Struthio camelus: one gene and its partner. The protein of the gene in region 2 interacts with the protein of the main gene of each other region in a pairwise test. Links are inferred from orthologs where the notes say so. Each region holds a gene or a part of one and is shown on either strand. Other genes may lie near its edges.

Evidence for each region.
Region 1: the proteins of RUFY1 (region 2) and RAB3IP interact in binary tests that used the Homo sapiens proteins (3 or more experiments, as listed by UniProt). The two-hybrid records come from large-scale screens. The link is inferred for Struthio camelus from reciprocal best matches to the Homo sapiens genes RUFY1 and RAB3IP.

Annotation. Positions count from the first base shown.
Region 1 is NC_090942.1:40,819,831-40,830,063, reverse strand, and holds the start of RAB3IP (rab-3A-interacting protein), read right to left. Parts: upstream 4,385-10,233; 5' UTR 4,285-4,384; intron 1-4,284. UniProt on the Homo sapiens protein: Guanine nucleotide exchange factor (GEF) which may activate RAB8A and RAB8B. Promotes the exchange of GDP to GTP, converting inactive GDP-bound Rab proteins into their active GTP-bound form.
Region 2 is NC_090954.1:6,832,977-6,844,083, reverse strand, and holds the start of RUFY1 (RUN and FYVE domain-containing protein 1), read right to left. Parts: upstream 4,800-11,107; 5' UTR 4,780-4,799; coding exon 4,515-4,779; intron 1,801-4,514; exon of another isoform or gene 1,421-1,800; intron 803-1,420; coding exon 629-802; intron 313-628; coding exon 195-312; intron 1-194. UniProt on the Homo sapiens protein: Activating adapter involved in cargo sorting from early/recycling endosomes. Regulates retrieval of proteins from endosomes to the trans-Golgi network through interaction with the dynein-dynactin complex.

The DNA of each region.
Region 1 (10,233 bases), on a different chromosome or scaffold from region 2:
ATTTTCACTGCACTATCACACTGGGATTGCTAACTACCCACATAACGCCCTGAGGAAGCTGCGCGCAAGTCTTGTTTTATCTAATATTAAATAAAAGTGTACTGCGAACAAGTCAGTTGAAGGTCAGTATGATACATCTCCATAGCTTCTAATAGGAAGCTAAAACTGAACATTTTCAAACAGTAGTCAAATGAAAATGCTTGATCTAGTTTGCCTATTGTTACTATAAGAGTAGCTTGGCTACTTGTCTGAACCAAAGCAATCAAAAACCAAATGCTCAAAGGCTTCCTGAAAAGCAATAATTATATTGTGGTTTATTTCCTTTTGAAACAAAAGCCTGATGTAAAACGGTCTCCTATAAGCTCTGGAGTCTTTCACAGATTGTTCAAAGTTGTCATCTTCAGTCTGTCTTGTATTTAAAAGCAGTTTCCTTGGTTAACACTAATAGTCCATTTATTAAACACCATCACTAAACATTTGTTGCTTCAAAATTTCAATTTTCACTTTAACAGTCGCAAGCATGATGACAACAGAACTGTTACCTGCTCAAATGAGGGGGGGAAAAAAAATCATATAAGGGAAAAAAGGTACTATTTCTAAACATTCTGATGAAAAGTTAATTTTAATTAGCATTTAAAAAAATATATCAAAGTGCATATTAGCTGTAGTGTTTTAATAGTCACACAGCAGGTCTTTCAAAAAAGTAATAAAGTCTCAAAGACATCATTTATTAGACTCCAAAGCCTGCTTTTATTGACTTTTTTTTTAAGGGTAGGAGAGTGGATTTTGTTCCAGTTCTCCAAAAAGACTGACATTAGCCCTCTACTAGTCTTGCATTCTTTTCCATAGGGTTAAAATACATTTTAAAAAGTCTTGAAATATTTTGCATTATGTAACCTGGAAATTAATAGGCTTTAAGTCCTAAAGAACTGAATAGGGCATGACAGTGTAGCACACTAGCAGACTAAGAAGTAACTCTTAAAGAGGCAGTCCAATTAAGTACAGCCACTCTATACCTACAGATATCAGATGCAAGCAGGTATTTTTCATAGGAAGTTAAGAAAATAATATTTCTGTAAAGCTTATGAGGATATTAAATTAAGGTTTAAAATACCCGTATAAGTCACACCTATCCAATTATGGACAAAAAAAAGTTTGAAGGGTTTTTTCTTCAGGGCTACACAGTGTTTTAAGCTTAAAAACTCATTAGTCACAAAATTCAAGCAAATTTAAATGCTTATCGATGCTAGTTCATTGCACAAACACAATTCAAGATTTGGCATAGGAATTCCCTTAAGGTTTACAGAAAACAATTCAAAATTGAATCATAAGTATGGTTCACTGCCTCCCTCCAATCTACCTTGGCATGGATTACAGCTCACCAAATAACCTTGGCGCTCCTGTAGCCCTTGCCCACCACATAAACAATGAGATGCCAGCAGCCAAAGCCTTTAAAGTGTTGCAAGCAAGATATGAAGTTTTTGTTTAAGCACCACTATGCAACAGATTGTGATAAAAGTAAATTCTTCACAAGTCTGATTTATTAAGATTATATAAAAAACAACTAGAGATAAAATAAGATAGCGTGGCCTTTAGCTACTTCAGAGACACAGAAAAATTACCCTACCTTTAAGGTTTTGCAATTATGATGGAACTTTCTACTTAAGCAGCCCAAACAGGGAACATAATTTGGGAGACAGCAAGATATGAGAGAAAAGAAGAGCACTGAACTACTCCAGTCTTCAGATATTCTACTTTTATTTGAAAGTGATCTTACACAACATATTGACCTATCAAAAGCAAAAGAAACAGTGAGGAAAGTTTAAAGAACAAGCAAAAAAAAAAAAAGGTTCAGTTCAGTTCAACAGGGTTTTTTTCCTATCATATTTCTATTAGTTATGCCATATGAAGTCACTATGATCAGGGTCTTTTATATTCTGTACTCTCATATTAGACATACAAAACAATTTTTCACGCTGTTTTAAAGAAATATTTAACCTATTTGATAACAAGATTTTATCAAGTCCATTAAAAGAATTTTTGTTTTGCTGAACTGATGATTAAAAATCTCATTTGAAAGTGTTATCATTGGGATAGCTTCATCTAGAAAAGTACAGGTGACTGCAAGTGTTTTATCTCTTACAAAAATAAGTAGCAGGCAAGATTCAAAGATCTATATTTATGAAGTGTTTGTGAAACCTATAAATGCAGTCTAGAATCCAGTATACCTTTTACTAGAGAGAGAGGAAAAAAAAAAAATCAGTGCTTTGCAAGGTATAATGCTTGGAAATTTTATTATAAACAAACATTCAGTGAATGCTGTTCGGTTCCAAAAGCCTCTCTAAACCAAGTTAGTTTTACTGTGAATATTCATCTCTTTCCAGATACTGCTCTTTTTAAGGCACAGCACTGTTCTGCCTTGTTTTGGAAACAGCTTTACAACACCTTATCGGTTTTAAGCCTGATCACACTGACTGACAGCATCACAACTCTTGCCAAAACTTCAACTAAAGTAACCCTTTCATTTTTTAATTAACACTAAAAATATTTTATTAATAAATAAAAATGATTACAGTTTTCACGGTTTTTGCAAAGCCTTCTAAAGCTATCTGTAAACGCATTAAGGAAATATTTCATTTTCTTAATTTCTGAAAAAACTGGTTACCATACTACGTGTAATTGAAGTGTCTTAAACTTTAAGTTTTGGCAAAGTTACAGTAGACAAGACTTTAAGCACCATATTTAAAAGGCTCTTAAAAATAAAAATCCAAAGTACATGTTTTCTGAGAAAATCCATAAATTTAATTGGAATAGCTATGAGAGCAGTTTATTTAGCATTTTAAAATTAATTTTAAATGAAGTCAATACAGCTATGAAGATAGGTGTAGTTTGTAATCAGAAGATTTATTTTAACTTTCCTTATAGAAAAATTTACCCTTTTAAATATACTGTAACAAGATGGATATTTCAGTTGCAGCTGTGAGGTGCACTCACATTTGTTATTTATTAAAAGCATAATGAGAATGGTAAATTATTCATCCTTCTTTGCTCACTAGGTAACATTAACCAAGCGCAGCAGAAGAGCGACCGCTGAGACAGAAATACAAAAGGCCTGATTTTAACCCACCCCAGACCTCATTAAACCAATCTATAATAAAATGAAAACAACAATAAAAATATTAAAGCAACAAGAGCTAAGGTTCTTCCCTTATTTTACTGAGGAATGTAAATATTCGAACAGATGGTAGCTGCCACTGCATGCTTCTAGATTGAATAACCTTTCGTCTGCTCCTAAAGAGAAGCTGGTAATCACAAATACTGCTAGTCTTAACTACCTAGATCACCGTTTCTCAGATTTTCTGCGGAAGATGCTTACAGATGAACACAACGAACAAATCAGCGAGCACACAGTCAAGTAAGCCATCCGCAAACAAAGCGGACCACACTTCCAAACTGATGAAAACCCGGTTGCTTTTTGTCAGCAGTACTTCTGAGTTTACGGCATCGTCCAGGATCTTGCGCTTGGTGTGCCCCTGCTTCCTGGAGTCCTACGAGTATCAGGGAGCCCCCAGCAGAGCGCGAGCACGTCGGCAGCGCAACGCTTCCGCACCGCTCACCGCCTTGCCACCAACTCGCAACCAGAATTCCCTCCGCGCGCCTTGCTCTCCAGCGTAATCGCGTTAAGAAACGACGGCGAGCTGCAAATCCCCGCTCCTGAGCTGCTGCAGCAGTACGCAGTGGCCGCCGAGCCGCGGGCCCGCCGTCAGCCTCGGCAGCGCTCGCAGACCGCGGAGCGGTCGGAACCGCGCCGAAACCAGCCCGCCACCGCGCCGACCGCGCCTCGCCCCAGCCCTCGGGCCGCGCCGCCGCCCGCCCTCCCTCCGCGGACCCCCGCCCGGAGCCGGCCGCGCTGCCCCGCCGGGCACGGGGAAGCGCTTGCGAGCAGTGCTAGCCCGAGCGCGGCTCCCCCTCACGCTAACTAACGCCAACCGTCAGCCCTCCCTGCCGGCCGGCACCGCCGCCCCGCAGCCCCCCGGCCCGGGGGCTCCCCTCCCCCCACCCCAAGCGACTTCGCTGCCGACCGCGGTTCAAGCCAACGGCACCGGGAACGAGCCGCGCCGCGCCGGGCGCACGACGCCTCCCCGCCAAGCTGGCCCCGGCAGCGGGCGCAGAGCCCGCCCCACAGCCGGCCGGCACCGGGAAGCCCGCCGGCGGCTCCGCACCGGACAGGCGCGGTGGGGCCCCACGATGGGGGGGGGGGGGGGGGGCACCGCCGCCACTCACCTGCCGAGCCCAGCGAGAGCGGCCGTCTCCGCACCGCGTCCCCTCAGCCAACCTCGCCGGTGGGGGGGGGGACTGGAGGGGGCGGGACGCCTCGCAACCACTGCGCATGCGCCCCACCCGCCGGGGGCGGGAGGCAGGCAGGTGCGCGAGACCCCGCCCGGGGAGGGGTTTAACCGTCGCCCCAACCGCCAGCCCCGGCGGGAAGGGGGTGGGGCGGCGGCTCGCCTCCGCCAGCAGCCTCTGTGGGGCCTGGTCTCCATTCCCCTCCCCCCCCCCCGGAGTTGCCTCTTGTCCTCGGGAAGCGCCCCACGCTGTTGAGCGGGAGCAGCCGGCCTCGCCAGCGACTCGAAACACCTTAAAGGAGGCTCGTAGGGCGGCCCCTGCCTCACCCGGCCCTCGGCTTGTCGCGCTGTCGGCAAACAAGTCGCGTTCCCAAGGGCTAGAGGAAAGGAGGCGCGGGCTGAGGGGGGAGGACAAGCTACACGGCCGGAGTGGGCCCGTTCCCGGCTCTTCTGCCGCTCTGATGGCTGCAGCGGGTCTGCTCCGGGCTCGCCGTCACCTTCCCTCGACTGCCAGCAGCACCAAGGACTCTCCTGGCTGATGCTCTGGCCACAACGCGCTCCCAGCTCATCGTTTTCAGGCCCAACTTGAAAAAATACTGAATACTCACCGTTGAAGTGGTGCACAGCATAAACTGTCTTAGGTGCTGCGGTTTGCGAGAAGGCAAACTACAGGTAGAGTTGTGACTTTGGAAGTGGTTTGTCAATACTTAGCTCCTCTGATGGTGAGCTGGAAAAGAGGGCTAAAACATCACTTTTGTTCACAGGCAGGTGAGGACAAGATTGTCAAAGTCTGAGTGTTTTGTTACCTGGAGCATCTTTGAGGGGGGGGAAAAAAAAGCAAGGAAATGAGTAGTTCTGTATTTAATTGGTATACAGTAATAAAGTTACAGGACTGCACAATCAAAAATGAGAAACCTGATACTTACCCAGGGATTTTCATTCATGGGGCATGCATCTCCCTAAATGAGGGCCTACTCCTGTCTAATATATGTAATAAAAGACTGAACTATAATGCATATGCACAGGAATGATGAAATAAGGTCCCATAACTAAAAAAGACTATTATTAAAAAAAAGCTTTGTTTTTCCAGCTTTACTAGTTTGTCCAATAAGAAGTTATTACTATTACTTCTAATCTTGGCTTGACTATGTCCTTAAACCATCGTTACTGCAACCGTGACAACTACTATAGTTCAGGCAATTTTCTGACTTTGTGGCAGTTAACATGTAGCCTTCCCTTTTTCCTTTTGAAGTCCCAGTCTGTATATTGCTTTTAGAATCAGTAGTCAAAACATTAGAAGGTCTCTATAAACAAGACTCCATTTTACCACTGTTCTGATTAGGCAGCCAAAACTTATGCTTCAAATGACAGCAGTATTGACTGTATCATTGCTTATTATTGCTTATTGTCAGTAGCAGCTGAACTGAGTGCTGCACTGGTAAGTAACTTTAGCAAAAAAAATCCTAATGTAAATAAGATCGCCCCATTCATCAGTTAAAGAATCTAGGCCACATTCCAGTCAATTATTGAAAGGTTAATTATCTTGACAGCTTTCCACTGAATGTGAAAGAATGCTGCTTGACCAGTCCTGCAGGACACAGCTATCGACAATTGGACAAATAATGTTCTTAACCATAGCTTCCACAAAGCAAAAAGTTCATTGAGGGCAAAATAATATGACAAAGAAGATGTCAAAAGACAAAGATATCAATGTCATTCATCATAAATATATTACCTATAAATAGTAGTATCTTTTAAAATGATCTTCAGTGCATAAATCTACACTGACCGCAGGTGGGGTGGGGAGCGGTCAGGCAGCCAAAAAAAAAAAAAAGCTACATAGAATCATCATCAACTGCTTCTCGGGAAGTAATCTAAAACCAATGAACCAAGTAGAGCAGAAAGTGGTGTAGTTGAATAACAGTATAATTTGAAGTTTGTTGTGAAAAGCCTCAGAGTGGAGATGCTCAGGTCTTGGTGCTCCGACCTTTAAACATACAATAGAGACCAGTCAGTGCTATCAGAATACAGGTTTCTGAAGTTAGAAGATACATCAGAAAGTTCATTAAAAACATGATTGCAAAAGAGACCTGACAAGTGGAATCAGAAGTTGGAAACAATGTATCAGGATTTAGTAAACTGACAAGAGTCTATAATTAGGATCTGTAATCCTATAGTTCTTAATCCTGTAGAATGACTGTACTTGGCATGACAGTCTGCTGTTCTAACCAGATTAGATGTCTTGCATTTCAAGAAATAAAAGCCATACAGTTCTAAAGGTATTTGGTTGTGCTAAAATTAATCATGAACAGATTTATTTTGTCAAAGTATTCCTATATTTTGCTATGTATGATACTTTGAAAAGTCAGATGGCAAGAAACTGTAGAAAATATAACTTACATGGTTAAAATTAGAAGTTGAAACAACTAGGATCAAGTTCAAATATATTAATAAAAATTAGAGTCTCTTTTCAAGAAAAAAATCTGTTTTAAAAGAGTACTTTTAGGCAACCTTTGGTTTCTTCCTGAGCTGCACATCAGCACCAGGGAACAGCAAGAATGGGGCCACTCCACCGTGGATAACTAGTTGGGACCAAGGGTGGCCCCAACCGGCAAGGGCACAGTCATGCACAGGGCTGGGATGGTGACAGCAACAGTTTCTGTCATTCATCTAGTGACCATCAGAAAAGGTGAGATTTTGAATCACGTCCAGGATCCATCCTAGAAGTCCACCCAGGAACAGCAGAAGACAGGACCAAAGACCAAGCCACCTACAATGTAGGTATGAGCTTCGTCCAAGGGGGAAGGAACAGAGACAGGCTCACCCAAAACACAGCTCAGGCAAAACCTGCAGTCCCAAACCCAAGCTTAAATGAAGCCCCTAGAGCCCCTCCCCACTATGGAAAAAGGGTGCTTGGGTGGAGATCCCAGGTGAAGCTGGTCAGGACAATTAAGGCCTAGTAGTGCCATCAGGGTCCTGGCAATTAGACACCATCAGGAAAACTGAAAGTCCTTTTATAAGCAAAAACATACATGGCTGTTCTTTTAAATGAGCAAAGCCACTGTGGCCAGTAGAAAGTGAGGTACAGTTTACAGCTTTGCTGGAATAAAATATGCCATGAATGCTGTCTCTGAATAAACAGATGTAGTCTGACAGGACCTTTCAACAAAACTGCACAATATATAAAACGTGGAGGATGGAATTTTCTGCAATTGCGTTGTTTCAGTATTTGCTGCTCCTAGAAAATCTATTTACTCAGCTTGTTGAATCATTTCCTATGTTCCTTTTGGACTCCTTAGTGTGGTTAGATGCCCCAAAATAGAAATTCACATTCTCCAGCTAGATAGAAAGCTGCATCCTATCTTGCTGCAGTCAGACTCGGTCTCAGCAGTCCATATACTGATAACTGACAGACTCATTGCTGTAGCTTCTGTCCAGACATACTGGTGCAAAATGTGGTGAATATTTTCGCAAACATATTCCCTCACTGCACACAATCCCTCTGACTACAGCATCTTTGTCTGTCCAAATCCTCTATTACATTTAAACCACTGGTGTGAGAGAGCGTGTCTCCAAATGCAGCTGTATTCTTCCCTAATAGTTACCTTTCACTGGACTATATTTCAGTGAGGAAAATCAGTCTCGGTGAGGAAAAAGCACAGGGGAAAAAGATGCTTCACAGAGGCTAGGCCCAGACTGTAGCAGGCTTCTCTGCTAAAAGCCAAGAATGACTGCAGGATTTTAAAGTGAAGTGCAGTGTTTCCCTTTGATCTGACTTGACTTTAATAAAGGCTTCTTACATGTACTCACAGGCACAAACACTGGCTAGTCAAACTGTTCCTCCTGCAGGCTGGGAGGACTAAGAAGAATGAGGTGGTGGTTTTCTCAAGAGAAGGTGTTCGAGTGTGTGGTAGGGAAGGATGCCTCAGCAATTTCACAGATAAATAAAGCAGATAAGGTTGGACTCTATTTTCTACTTCCTTGAGGTACTTCTTGCTTGTTTCTTTTGTTAGCTTTTAATATTGCATAAACTAATTATTACCTCACTTTCAAAGAAGGTATTACAAAACAATAAACTCAGGCAAACCAAGGGATAAATCTATTAATAGAAGTCGTACATGCATTGCAACACCATAGGACAGTGAAGAGAAGCCAATAAATGTTCTACTATGTACATATAAGGAAACTAAGGTACAGAGACTATAAATCTTATCTACACTAGAGATTTTTTTTTCCTTCTGCTAGTTCAGCTGAACCAGTGCTAGCAGTTTTGGGAACCGTGGCATAGACAAGACTTCCCCAATCAGGCATATTTCGTCAGCATTTTAGCTAAGCTTTTGGAAAGCAAATCTAATTGGTACATTGGTATAAATAAGCATCCAGCTATGGGAGTGCTAAAACCACGGCTTTTGTCTTTACTGCCCCTGATTTAACTGATAGAACATTAAAACCAATGAGACCTTATTTTTCTTCAAATTTATCCACTAAAAAACCCCTCCAGAATAAGAGCAAATAGACAGGATTGATGTTAAATACTCCTGACATATAGCCTGTTTCTCAAAATTTCTGGTAATGGAGATTCCACAGCCTCCCTAAGCAATGTATTCAAGCGCTGAACTACCCTTGGAGATAGAAATGTTTTCTGAAGTCTAACCTAATCGCCTTTGCTGGAAACGAGGACAAGAAGTAATGAGCTTATCTCAGTGGATGCTGGAAGCAAGAATCTTTAGCATATTTGAAGACATCATCTACCCCTCGTTTTACTGGAAGACTAAACAAACACCGTTCTTTTAATCCTTCCTTGTAGGTCACAATTTTTAGACTTCCAGTTGCTTTTATTGATCTCTCTGGGCTTCCTCCAGTTGGTCCTCATCTTTGTAAATGAACAGTGTGCAGACCTAGGCACAGTACTCCAGATGAGGTCTTAACAGCATTGGCTCTAACATATCACACACCTGCTTGTATTTCCCAGCAAAAGGCTTAGGATTTTTGTTCTGTTTTGTTTGTTTGTTTGTTTTGTTTTTATGGTAGCAGAATGATGCTTAACCAGCCTTTCTCCAACTCATGTTTGTGACTTGGCTTGGGAACTTGTTTCTAAGTCCATTGATTCTTACTGAATTCTAATCCTGTTCTGAAAAAATGCTTATGGCTCTTCATATCTTGCAAATTTAATAAGCGTACTCCCTCTTCTATCAACTAAGTCCTTAATTAAAGTATTACACACTATCAGAACCTGGATGATCCCCTGAGAAAAGTTGCTTTACTTTAACAAGAAGTTATTTAAAAGCATGCTTTGAGAACAGTTTTCAGATCAGTCATGCACCGACTTTGCAGCAGTTTGCGCTGGACAGTTTCCCTCACTTTTTTATGAGATGTCATAGGAGGCAGTTTCTAAAGCCTTACCTAAGTCTAGGTGTATCACATATATTGCTTCTTGGAATTTGCTTTTTGTCTTGGAATGACTTAAATGATTCGCTCAAAGCACGCAGCAAATCTGTTGCAAAACCAAGACCCATAACCAGTTCAGTCCCCTCCTCTGTTAGGCATATCAGCGTACTAAATCGGCATAAGAAATATGATGTCTAAAAAGTGAGTGTCCATTAAAGACATTAATTAAATGTCAAGACTTGAATAATAAAAAATGTAAAATTGAGGAAAGAAAATCCTTTTATACACAGCATATACCTATGCACAACCTGTAGAACTCATTGACACGGTATAACAGGAATAGCAAATTTTTAGTTGTGTTTAAAAAAAGACAATTTTACCTTTTATATGGCTAGACAGAACCCAGACTAATTAGGGAAGATACAAATGAATAAAGAATATCAATTATCATTTTCAGGGTATAAGGCAACTATTAGCTGACAAAGGTTAAAAAGAAATT
Region 2 (11,107 bases):
ACAGTATTGTTGAATTAGAAGTGCAGAATACCTTAAGATGTCCTCTTTACCTCTCGGAGGAATCAATGCCTCCAGCATACACCATCTTTCTCTTTGGGAATAAGATCTCAATAAGGCAAGGTGAGAGAGTTTAGGAAGGATTCTTTTTCCCCAGAGGTGTAAGTGAATTGTATCATCCCCAATAATCAACTTACTTCAATTCTGGCAGATTTTTAACACTAGTTGCTATATCTGATGCTTCAGGACAAAGCTTTTCCACTAGCTCCAAAGGACCAAAAAATGATTTGTTCTGTCCAATAAAAGTCTTCTTCACTAAAGAGAATATACAGAGACGTTTGTGAGGAAAAGTAACAGGCTTCTGCCTCCAACTCCAGAGTCACAAATTTTAGTCGACACTTAACTTCATCTTACCACCTCCTGGTACGTAAATGGGGCATTAAAAGACCCTTGACTGTTTAGGTGGCGGACAACATAGGGCATATCAGAAGGTAAGCACACAGGAATATCAGGAGTACTGATTAGTAGCTTATAGTGCGTGCAATTAATGCCATATTAACTGAAAAGGCAGCGAGACAGGACGCGGCCTCGTTTATCCGCCTCCCCTCCGGGCGTCGCGGCGGGCGCTCACCTTTCAGCCCGTGCTTGAGGCAGTGCTCCAGCACCACGAAGAACTGCTGCAAGGGAGGGAAGTCCGAGTCCAGGGTCCGGCCCAGGCTCAGGGCTGACTGGATCAGGGTTTTGATACTGAGCTTCATCATGTTCATGAGGTTTGCGCGCTCCTCCATCGCGTGGCAGCGGACAGCTAGGCAGGGGAGACACAGGTGGGAAAAGAAAAAATGATTTTTTTTTAAATTGTTTTTTAGAAACGCAGGCTCCCCTTTCTGGCTGTCACAGCAGCGATGAGAGCAGTGCCGCCGGCTTGGTCTCCTTCTTGTCCGAGGGAACGGCTGTAGGGGCGCGGGGGCACAAAAACAAGGCCGGGGTGACCCCCCCTCCGCCGCGGACAGCCTCTGTGAGGGGCTCGAGGGTTATCGCCAGGCCCCGGGCAGCGGCGGGGGCTCCTGCCCTGGCGGAGCCGGTGCCGGTGCGAGGGGCGGCCCGGGCCGGCGGCCCTTCCCCGCGGGGGCGCTGCGGACCGGCTCCCCCGGCGCCCCGCGTTGCCACGGAAACAGAGCCGCCCCCCCCCCCACCCCCTCCGCGCCCGGGAACTCTCGCGAGACCCAGCGAGCCCGGGACGAGGCGCGCCTGGCGGCAGGCGCCATTTTAGAAAGGGTTTTCCCCTGCGCGGCGCTGGGGGAGTGGGCGCTTTGCGTTATTCCTGCCCCGGCTCGCCAGGCAGGTACTGCGGCTCCCCCTCGCCTTCCCGAAAGGCAGCTGCAGCTATTTAGGACGGGGGTGGGGGGAAGGGTGAGTACTGCACCCTGAACTCCCGCAGCCCAGGGAGGCCGCAGCCTGCTCGGCCTGCCGCGCCGCTCCGCGGACGGCGGTGCTGAGCGCCGTCCCCGCTTCCCTCAGCGCCGAGCCCTGCTTCTGAGGGGCGCTCTGCCCCGCTTCCCCTAACGGCACAGGGCAGCGCTCCTCCTTTTAAAAGGAGAGGAGGGTCGAGACAGAAACAGGCTGCCAGCCACGGCTTATCCTCAGCCAACGCAGGTTCTGGCAGATGCTGCCAACCGCAGACCCATGGCTAAATGGTCTTTTGAGCCAACGATGTTGCATTAGGAGAATCCTGCTCGCATCTGCGGATCAAACATGGTAATACCCCCTGCAGAAATAGCAGTCACAGAAGACCAAGTTTAACAGGTAGAGAGCCCCCGCCTCAGTCACATGTGAGATTGCTAATGCTATTCCTAACAGCATGCAAAAGTCTTTTGAGTACTAATTTTCATGATTACCTTCCTTATCGTGCACAGAATGTTAATTCAGGGTTACTAGTGAACAAAAGTCTTCCATATCAGAAGAGTCAAAACAGGGAGTCGTTCTCATCCAAATTCAAGTCAGTCTCAAGAAGAAGCACATAAAATCCTATCTTCTCCATAGGCTGTTTCCAACATATCACTATCTACAGTCAGTATAGTGGATGCCTCAAAACTGCTTATAATGTCCGAGATGAGACTGAGAATTAGAAGGGTTGTAATATTTTTAAATGTTGATGTCAGTATTGCCAGGCTACACGTTAGGAACAGAAAAAAGGCTGACTATGGAAATAGGAAATCAGTGGCCTTGCTTAGATGTTAGGATGCTTCAATGGCAACTCATCGAGTTATTTTGACGATTTCCTGAGACTGGATTTTTACTTGTCAGGCATGTTTTGCTTGTGAGCTTTGCTCAAGGGCTAGGTATCATATCAGCCACAAGTCTTTTTTTAAACGAATTTTGTGAATGATAATTTATTTATGAACAAAAATTTAAATGTAAACCATGTCTTCATAAGCATTTGTACTAAGTACTAGTTAGTACAATCTGAACTATTTTTTAAACAGTTGCAAGGTTGGACAGTCAAGTGCATCTTTTCTAAAACCATGTACAAGTTGGTACATGCAAAAAAGCCAGATACTAGAACAGCGCGATCTACCAAAGCAAGGCCTGGAAGATTAGGAATCGAGTTACTTAAGTGCAAAAGATCACACACGTTATGATGCGGTCATTAAAAACACCGTCACACAGTCTCTTACCTCATCCAATTCAACAGATTTGTTTTAACATCATTTTGAAGCCCCCGTGCCTTGTTTACTGCACACTATTCAGCAGGCCTTGAGGTAGGAAAAAAACTGAAGTATGAAGAAACCTTGACTGTTCTCCACCTCTTGGTCTATAAAACTGCAAGTCTTTCTTGATTTGTATTTAAATTGGTAGCTCCCTATCTTTCCAGCCAAGCGGGACAGTTTCATCAGTAGTACACGCTAGTTTTATGGTGTGCCTTTCCTTTTATCTGTCCAGTTTGCTGTGGAGTGTGCAGTGGTGACTTTTCAAGTGATCAACATACCTGAAGTAGCAGGTAGAGATTATAAAATCTCTGGAAAAGAGGGCAACAAGGAACAAGTTACTAGCACTCCACATATCTTCTTGCAGGCCACAGAACTAGAGGTTATTTATTTAATACCTGCTTTAAATCAAATTTACTGTTCTCAGTCAAGGGTAACGGTGAAGCCTTTTACACAGGAGGGCAGAATAGGTCATCTAGTGCCTGTTCACTTTTTTTTTTTTTTTAAATAAGTTATAAGCAGATTTTTCTCATGGAATTTTCTATAAACGTTGTTCAAAGTATTTGGATAATACGTTCATAATCTGGTGAGGTGGAGTTGCATTCCCTCATTTTACAGATAGGAAGCTGCAAGATTATGGTGAAAGTCCCATGAAGCCTGGGGACTCTCATTTCAGGCAGAATGTTTTAACAGCCCTCTCCTCTACCCCCAGCAAATGCTGCATGTGCTGTTGTACTATGTGTGTTCACAGCAGCGATCCCAATGCACCTGAAGACAGTGGGATATTTTGTCCTTCCTCAGGTTAGATTCCAGGTTCTCACGCTGGGCATCCAGAAAACAAATCTGTTAAATGTGGTCTGAGACTGTGTAATAGATGCAGGGAAAGCGAAATTGTGTCCTGGAAAACTAGATTATTATTTTAAACTCTCCTGACTATACAAAAATCAAGGAATTTTCATTGAAAAAAATCCCCCCCCACCCACCACGAGTAGCTTATTTCACCACATAGCCACAATTCATCCCCAGAGAACTCCAGCTTGAGTACTAAATATCATGAAAAACAAGAAGGTCAGAACCATAACTGAGCTCTGTTGGTCCAAAAAAATCACTAAGCGCTAGCCTGAAAGCCTGGAGGACAAGACTAATGTGACCAGTTACCACTACATTTGAATGGTTTTGTTTCCAGTGCCCGAATATCACTGAGGTGGTACCAAAGGATTCAATTCGCATAAGGATCCAACTAAAGCCCTTTTAGTTCAGCTGTAAAAGACTCGTTCCGTAAATCCATATGGATTGTTATACCCACAAATATGGATGTTTAATAAAGCAAGCTGTAGTTAACTTAAGGGGGCATTTTTAGCATAGTGAAAAAGAAGTAATTCATGACAAGTCTTTGTCTTAGTCTACCTTGTGTCACAAAAAATCATACCACAAGTATAGCTCCTTCTCTGAACCGCCTAGGAAGGATAAGAAATGAGCCACATCACCTACTAGTGCAGTCAGGCTGCTGCTAAGGAGAACTTTAAGGGAGAAGGCAAAAGTAATCAAAAGCCTTATGTACAGAAAATAAAGTCAAATTTTCCGAATATATTCAGAGTTTACGATTTTTCTAGTTAGAATATACTTTGTTCAGTTCTACATCTGTGGTGTTTGTGTAGTTTTGCTTCCATTAAATAGCGCAGCATCAGATTTTTAAAAATAAATTCAGAGTAATAATAATGCCTCACTGACACTGATAAATGCCACTTACGGGAGCTAACTAACTTATTTGTGCACCATAAAAGCAAGTTTACTAAATAAACATAACCATACTTGTTTTTGCTGTGTTGTCATTGCTGACTGGTTTGGATATGAATCCTACCAAAGATGCAGACTTCAGAGCGTTGCCATAGCTCAGCGCTAAGTTTTCTGAGGCTTTCTTAGCCAGCGACAAGATGGGAGCAGACCATCTTGCTTCTTCCGCAGTTTTCTCTTTTCCCTCGTTTTTCAGCTCAGGGGTATTAGGGATCAGGTTTTTGTCAATAATTTCAAAGTCTTCTTTCTGTTCCGCGGCAGATGGGCTCTCCCCTTCGGCCATCTTTGAAGTGTCATATGACGCTAGTCATGAGCAATCGAGTTGGCAGGGCCTCCGCCCTCCCCCGCCTTCTCACTGCAGCTTGGGAGCCAGGTACGTAAGAGCAAGCTGAACGACTCTAAAACTGTTGCATGCCTAAGCAAGGCTGTAAGACAAGCCTTTCCAGAACTGTGAGCAGTTTTCCCGATGTTCGAAGTTAAAGGCTTGGGGAAGGGAGGCGTGGAAGGAGTAAAGGTTTACTTTTTAAACAAAGTTACGGAGGTAACCAAAAACACACCTTGGAGTTATTTATTGCATACTATGTTCCTAAACATTATTTTCAATTAGAATCTTTGCAGTAACCTTTGAAATCCCACATTTTTTGCATTATTTTATGACAACTTAGAGAGATACTACTCTGTCTATAACTCAAGCCATCCGAACTTGATTAAAATAGTGGATACATATGGCAGGTCTGGAGCAGTGAAAAGTGCTCGCTCACATCCTGACATTACAAAATAGCTGTAATCAGAAAGGCTGCTTCATTAACGTAGCTTGGCTGCATTTGGTAGAAAAGATTTATCATGAAGGAGAACTGAATTGATGCTAGCTGGAAAGTTTGACCTTACTAGGTGTCTCGAATATCAATGTAGCCTGCAGAGGCATGGTTTAGCATTCATTTTCTCCATCCAGCAGCTGTATATCCCCAAGATACGTCACTCATTTAATCATGATATAGTAAATGTTGCATATTAGCTCTTCTTGCTATACTGACTGAGGAAGGCATTTTTTGTTAGCTTTGTTTTATTTTTGCTAAGAAATATCCAGACTGTGAGAAGGGGGGGGGGGGGAAGGAAAAGAGGGGAGGGAACAGCAGAGTTGGAGATCAATTTCAGTAGTCTTGCAGCAAAGGAAATCTTCAGGTCTGTGTCTTATTTGTTCTCCTACTCTAAACTATTTTAAGATTTATTCTGCCTCCTAGGCTTCTCAGACACTGAAAGTTTAGCAACTTACGTTCCACAGAACACAGGGAAACGCTCATGTTTTTGCTGAGAAGTCAGAGATCAGCAGCCTTTTATTCACCCATGATTTATTTAAGATAAGTGTAGGCTTTTAGCTACTCTTGCTACAGGGTACAGAAGCAAATTTTACTCCATCTTGTGGACTAAAGGTAGTATTTGACAGTGTGTTTATAGGGAAGTAATATCTAACAGCTTTATAGGGTCTTGTATTATATTTGACTACATTAATATACCTTTATTTGACTTGAGTAAGACTTGACCTTGACTTTCTGCCTTTTACAATCCACCCAATATTAGAGTCAGGAAAAATATTAGCTAGAGAAGCAAAGCAGAATTCTAGGCTTTGGAACAACTTTTCATTGTCAATAAAGCTCAGGAACAAGGCATGAAAATTTTGTGACTGTGAAAATACGAGCAAAACAAGACTTCTACTTCTCTCTCACTATATTGCTCCCATAAGGTCATGATTCATCAGATCGCCTGGTTTAGCATGACAGTTAGCTACTTTGTAAAACATGAAGTGAAACTAGGACATAGTCTCTTGATCATCTTTCTGTATGTTACAATTAAAGAAACAAGTTTAATGTACATGGTAAAGGAACGTTTGGTCATTTTATTTTGGTGCCTGTAGGATATCAAATAGCAGCCTTTATACAGTATCTAAGAAAACTGGTAGAAGTTTTTTGCTGCACAGTCATATGATTCATGACTATTCAGTCAAAATGACTTTAATTTTAGGAAGTCGGCCATTGACAACATTAAATGACCTCTTTGTATTTTAAAGCAAATAACAAGTCATGTAACATTGTAAGTGAGCTCTACCTCAGTGAGGTTTTTTGTTTACAAAGTATAATAATTTGCCCCAGAGTCCTTTAAGTCAGCCATAGAGGATGTAGTTTATATAGGATACAGTTTAAGTGTTTTTTTTTTTTTTTTAAAAAAAGATTATTACTTTAGTTTCAATTCACGTATTTGACAAAGAGGGGAACTACACATGAAGAACACTCTTCACTTTTAACTCTGAAAGTGGGCACATTTTTAGTTCTGTCTTCTGCAGACACTGATATTTCATCACTGTAGTCTCTTCGTTACAGACCACTAGTCCAGCTGTTGCCATTCGTGTGCAGATGAACAAAGTTTTCTTTTGAAAGTCCATTACGTAGCTTGTTTAGAAGGTCTGCAGAAGTATGTAGATATCAGTTATGCGTAACTACAAAAATAGAATTCTTGAGGACTTAAACATTTTTAGGATTCACTGAAAAGTCAGTCAGGAAACTAAATTACTCACTTCCTATTTTTTGTCTGTCCTAACCTCAGATATCAACTCGGAGAAAGCTTCATAATTTTTTTTTTTTAAAAAACATTTTGTTAAGTTCTGCTCCTGTTTCATGCAGCTCTTGCATGGCATTGTTGGATTTTACTCTCCCTCCCCTACCCCCCTTCTTAGGGGAATGAAAAAAAATTGTATTTGACATATTTAAATAATGGGAGGACTAAAGTGTAGCAGTAGATTATTCCCAAAGGACTCCTATTTTGATCAGGAAACTATACACTTCAGCTGACAGTCTGGCTATCCAAAGTAGAAGATAATTTTAGAATAGGAGAAGCTATATTATTTGCCTTCAGCGATATTGAAAGGGATATTTGTTTTCATGTAGAGATTTTTTTAAAGACAGTTTCTTTGGTTAGTTCTTCTCCTTTATATCAGATGTATTCCTTTTGGGGGTAATGGCTTAAAGAAGCCTTTTTGCCATGTAGCATTTCAAATGCGTCATGCACTCGAAATATTTAAAAAACAGCACTAATGCCACTGTCTGTTAAAGGGTGAACTTTTGTGATTAGCTGCTAATTATACCTTGCATTTCGCTAACCTCTTCTACCAGCCAGACATGGATTGCTTTACAAATAAACTAGTCAAGTTTTAGACCTTTACAATGCTACTATTAGGAAATACCGAGTGTTGCTCTAGTCGGCGTAACAAAAGAAAAAAAATGCATTTTATGCATTTAACAGCATATTGTACAGAATTCACAGAGCTATACTACAATTTATAGTAGTTAGCATTTAAGTGCTGAGGGATTCAATGGTTGCTGAATGGAACTGGATCCACAGAGTTCTGAGCAGCCATTTTGCACCTGCATAAGGAAAGGTCTGATGCACAGAAATGTCTTCACGGTCTGAAATTTTTGGCTAGGGGCTTGCATCTTTTGTGGAGCACCTACTAATATTTGGATGCTTCCTGGGGAAGGAGACCTTCCTCCACTTCTAATCTTTCAAAGCACGAGCAGTTGTATTTGAAAGTTGCAGATTGATCTGGTAGAGTTCAGTGGAGAACCTATGTGAATAATTGTGCTTACATTTTTGTGTGATTTGATCCTAGTTTGTCCCAAGTGTATGGATTTTATTAGAAGAAAAGAAGCTTAAAGAACATGATCTTCAAGTCCTTAAGACTTTATATGATCCGGGTCAAAGGTACAGAGAAGGAACTAACACTTCAGAATCACCTGGATTTCAAGTTAGTGAACTTTGCCACCATTTCACTGTACAGTTTTAAGAGAGGAATCAAGAAGAAGATTCAGACGAATCATTCAAGAGGAACAGCTGGTATGATGTGATAAGCTTATACATGCGCATAGTGCAGCTATCAAGAATGATCTTCCAGTGATTACAGCAGCGTCACATATCAGTAAAGGGTTATGTGCTTCAGTTGCAGTATTCCCTCCCTCCCATTCGTAGAAGCCTTAAATCATTCTTCTGCTTGTGCACTGAGGTACGTGAATGCCAACTGAGGAAAAGCAGTATTAGTAGCAAAGGATAGCATATTTCCTTTAGGAACTCATTGAAAAAACTCTGTAGCACTAACTTAATTCCCCCATTATACCATAGTGATTAAGTTATTATGCTTTTAGAGACAACAGTTTAACTGTTATTGCACCTGCAGTGCAGCTAATCAGCTAACATCCTTTCCAATCACCTCTAATCAAAGAGCTTGCTTAAAAGCCTCAAATTATTTCCAGTTGTGTTATTGCACTTGTATTAAGTCAGAGCAGTCTCATTATTTTAACCACCACTTTATGTTCCCTGATCCAGATGCACCAGCTTGTGCCATCATTGAGAAAAAAATCCTTGTTACTACTGAAAGAATCAGCTGCTTGAAACTGTCATTTCACAAGTCATTGAAATCCCTGAGAGGAAATGGAAATAGTACTAGGTGGTAATGTGCATCATTGTAGTAAAGAAAGAAAAGATAGAGTAGAATACTGAAGAGAAAAGTCTGTCAAAATATTCACTTGGAATCAAAACAACAGCAACAGAATTTAATGTATACTGAAATTAGCCAGTTAAGGCCAAATACTATCTGGATACATATTAAATGACACAGTCTGAATGAACTAGACTAGTAATTTACAACTGGGGAGAAAACACATAGTATATGTCTTGTTCTACTCTATCACCGGCTTGTTGGAAAAAAAGCAAAGCGTTTGATAGAAAGACAGGGGGGCGGGAATGTCAGAAAACAGGCAAAAAGAACATACTTGCCAATTTTCCTGTTTGTGCTGTAACATAGTATTTAGTGGTACTGTGAATACAGAGGCAGCTGGCAGAACTTCCCACTAGGTGACACTACAGCACTACTTTATTCATAGTGCAGACTCTAACATAGCAACGAGGCACTAAGAGCAAATACCATGTTGTGAAGATACCTGGGAAACAGCAAATAGCTCACGAGGTGTCACCTTCCCAGCAGGGTCTGTAAATAGCAGGTTTTTTGCCAATCTTAAAATAAGATGGGAACTTTGGACATCTTTATGCAACCTTCTGCTGGGAACAGAACTGAAGCAACAATACAGCAGTACTTCATTTAAAAGCCTTACTATCCTAGAAACACCCTTTATTTTTTTTTATTTGAAAAGAATTTTAAATGTGGACAGAAACAAGCTAAGATGCATACCTGAGCAGCTCCCAAAGTTGCAGTCCCCCACGATATAAGCTGTGTTAGCAGAAGCCATTTTGGGAAAAGGAAGTAGTTGCCTGGCTTTTATAGGAGGTTCAAAGTTGTGAGCAGTGAACATATGTCTAGGAATACTCTCTGTTGTAACCCTAGCTGTGCATGAATTCAGGGTCATTTACTAGTTCCAGAGTTTCATGTGGGATTTTGAAATGGCCAGTGTTGTACAAAAAATGTGGGCTGTTAAAGGTTGTTACATAATGTTGCAAGTCCTTTATAGGAGTCAGGAAGTTGGAAAGAAAGATAGAATTTGGTCTAGTTTACAGACCACATCAGAAATCAGAGCACATCTGTTTGAATGGGATAATTTATGGACTTAGATGACCTGTGTGTTTTTCCCCTGCTCTGTGTTCTCGTTAAATAGTATTTGAGCCAAACAGTTCTGACCTACAGTCTGAGAGAAGAGGTTAGCTCTATAAATACATTTATAAAGTAAGAGTAATTATAAAGTAATTATAAATTTGCAAACAGCTATTTACACGATCTGTTTATAAATTGAAAAGTGAAAGGCTAAGTTGACCATGTCTTAAGGTGAGTAAATCCACAAGCAAGAGCTCCGAGTGGTGGTGGAACTGATGGAGGACTAAGTTGACTTTATATTTGTGTCTGGCGTGAGTTGGCTTGTAAATATCTAGCTTTTTTTCAAATGTGCCTTTTTTATTTTGTATTACACTTTTCACGGCTTATGTATTTTCTTTTCTTGGCTTTTCCCAGGTTGACTTTTGTTACTATTGCATGCAGACAGTTTTGGATTAGGTATAATTTTGCAGATTTTATAAAAGTGGTGTGAATTAATAACTGTACTGAGGGATGGAGGGTCAAAGGAATTGTAAATGGGATTAAAAGCTGAATCCTAACAGGATGTGAATGTCGTATCTTTGAAATATGATGCCAGCATTTCTGCTATGTAATGCAGCCTTCAGCTAACATGCATGAAAATGCTTCTGTGGGACTTAATTAGCTGAAGAAGGGAGCTCATATTGTTCCATTAATGTAATAGGAACATGTTGCGAATTACAGAAGAAAATGTTATTAGAGATTATATGATAAGCCGATGAAATGCATAATATGTTCCCTAGACAAGTCTAAAAACACCTTTATGTTAAACAAAACACTACTTTTTATTTGTATTTTTAAAAGAAAATATGTAAAATTCCTTATGTAAAATTTAATGTATTATCCATGAAGGCTGAAAAAAAGTGCAAAACTCTGATTAAAAGGGAATTTCCCCCCAAAATAATATGGCATGATGTGCTTCAAAAATCATGGCTTCAGAAATCTTGAGACATCATCACTTCATCAGTGTGAGTGGTTCCGCAAG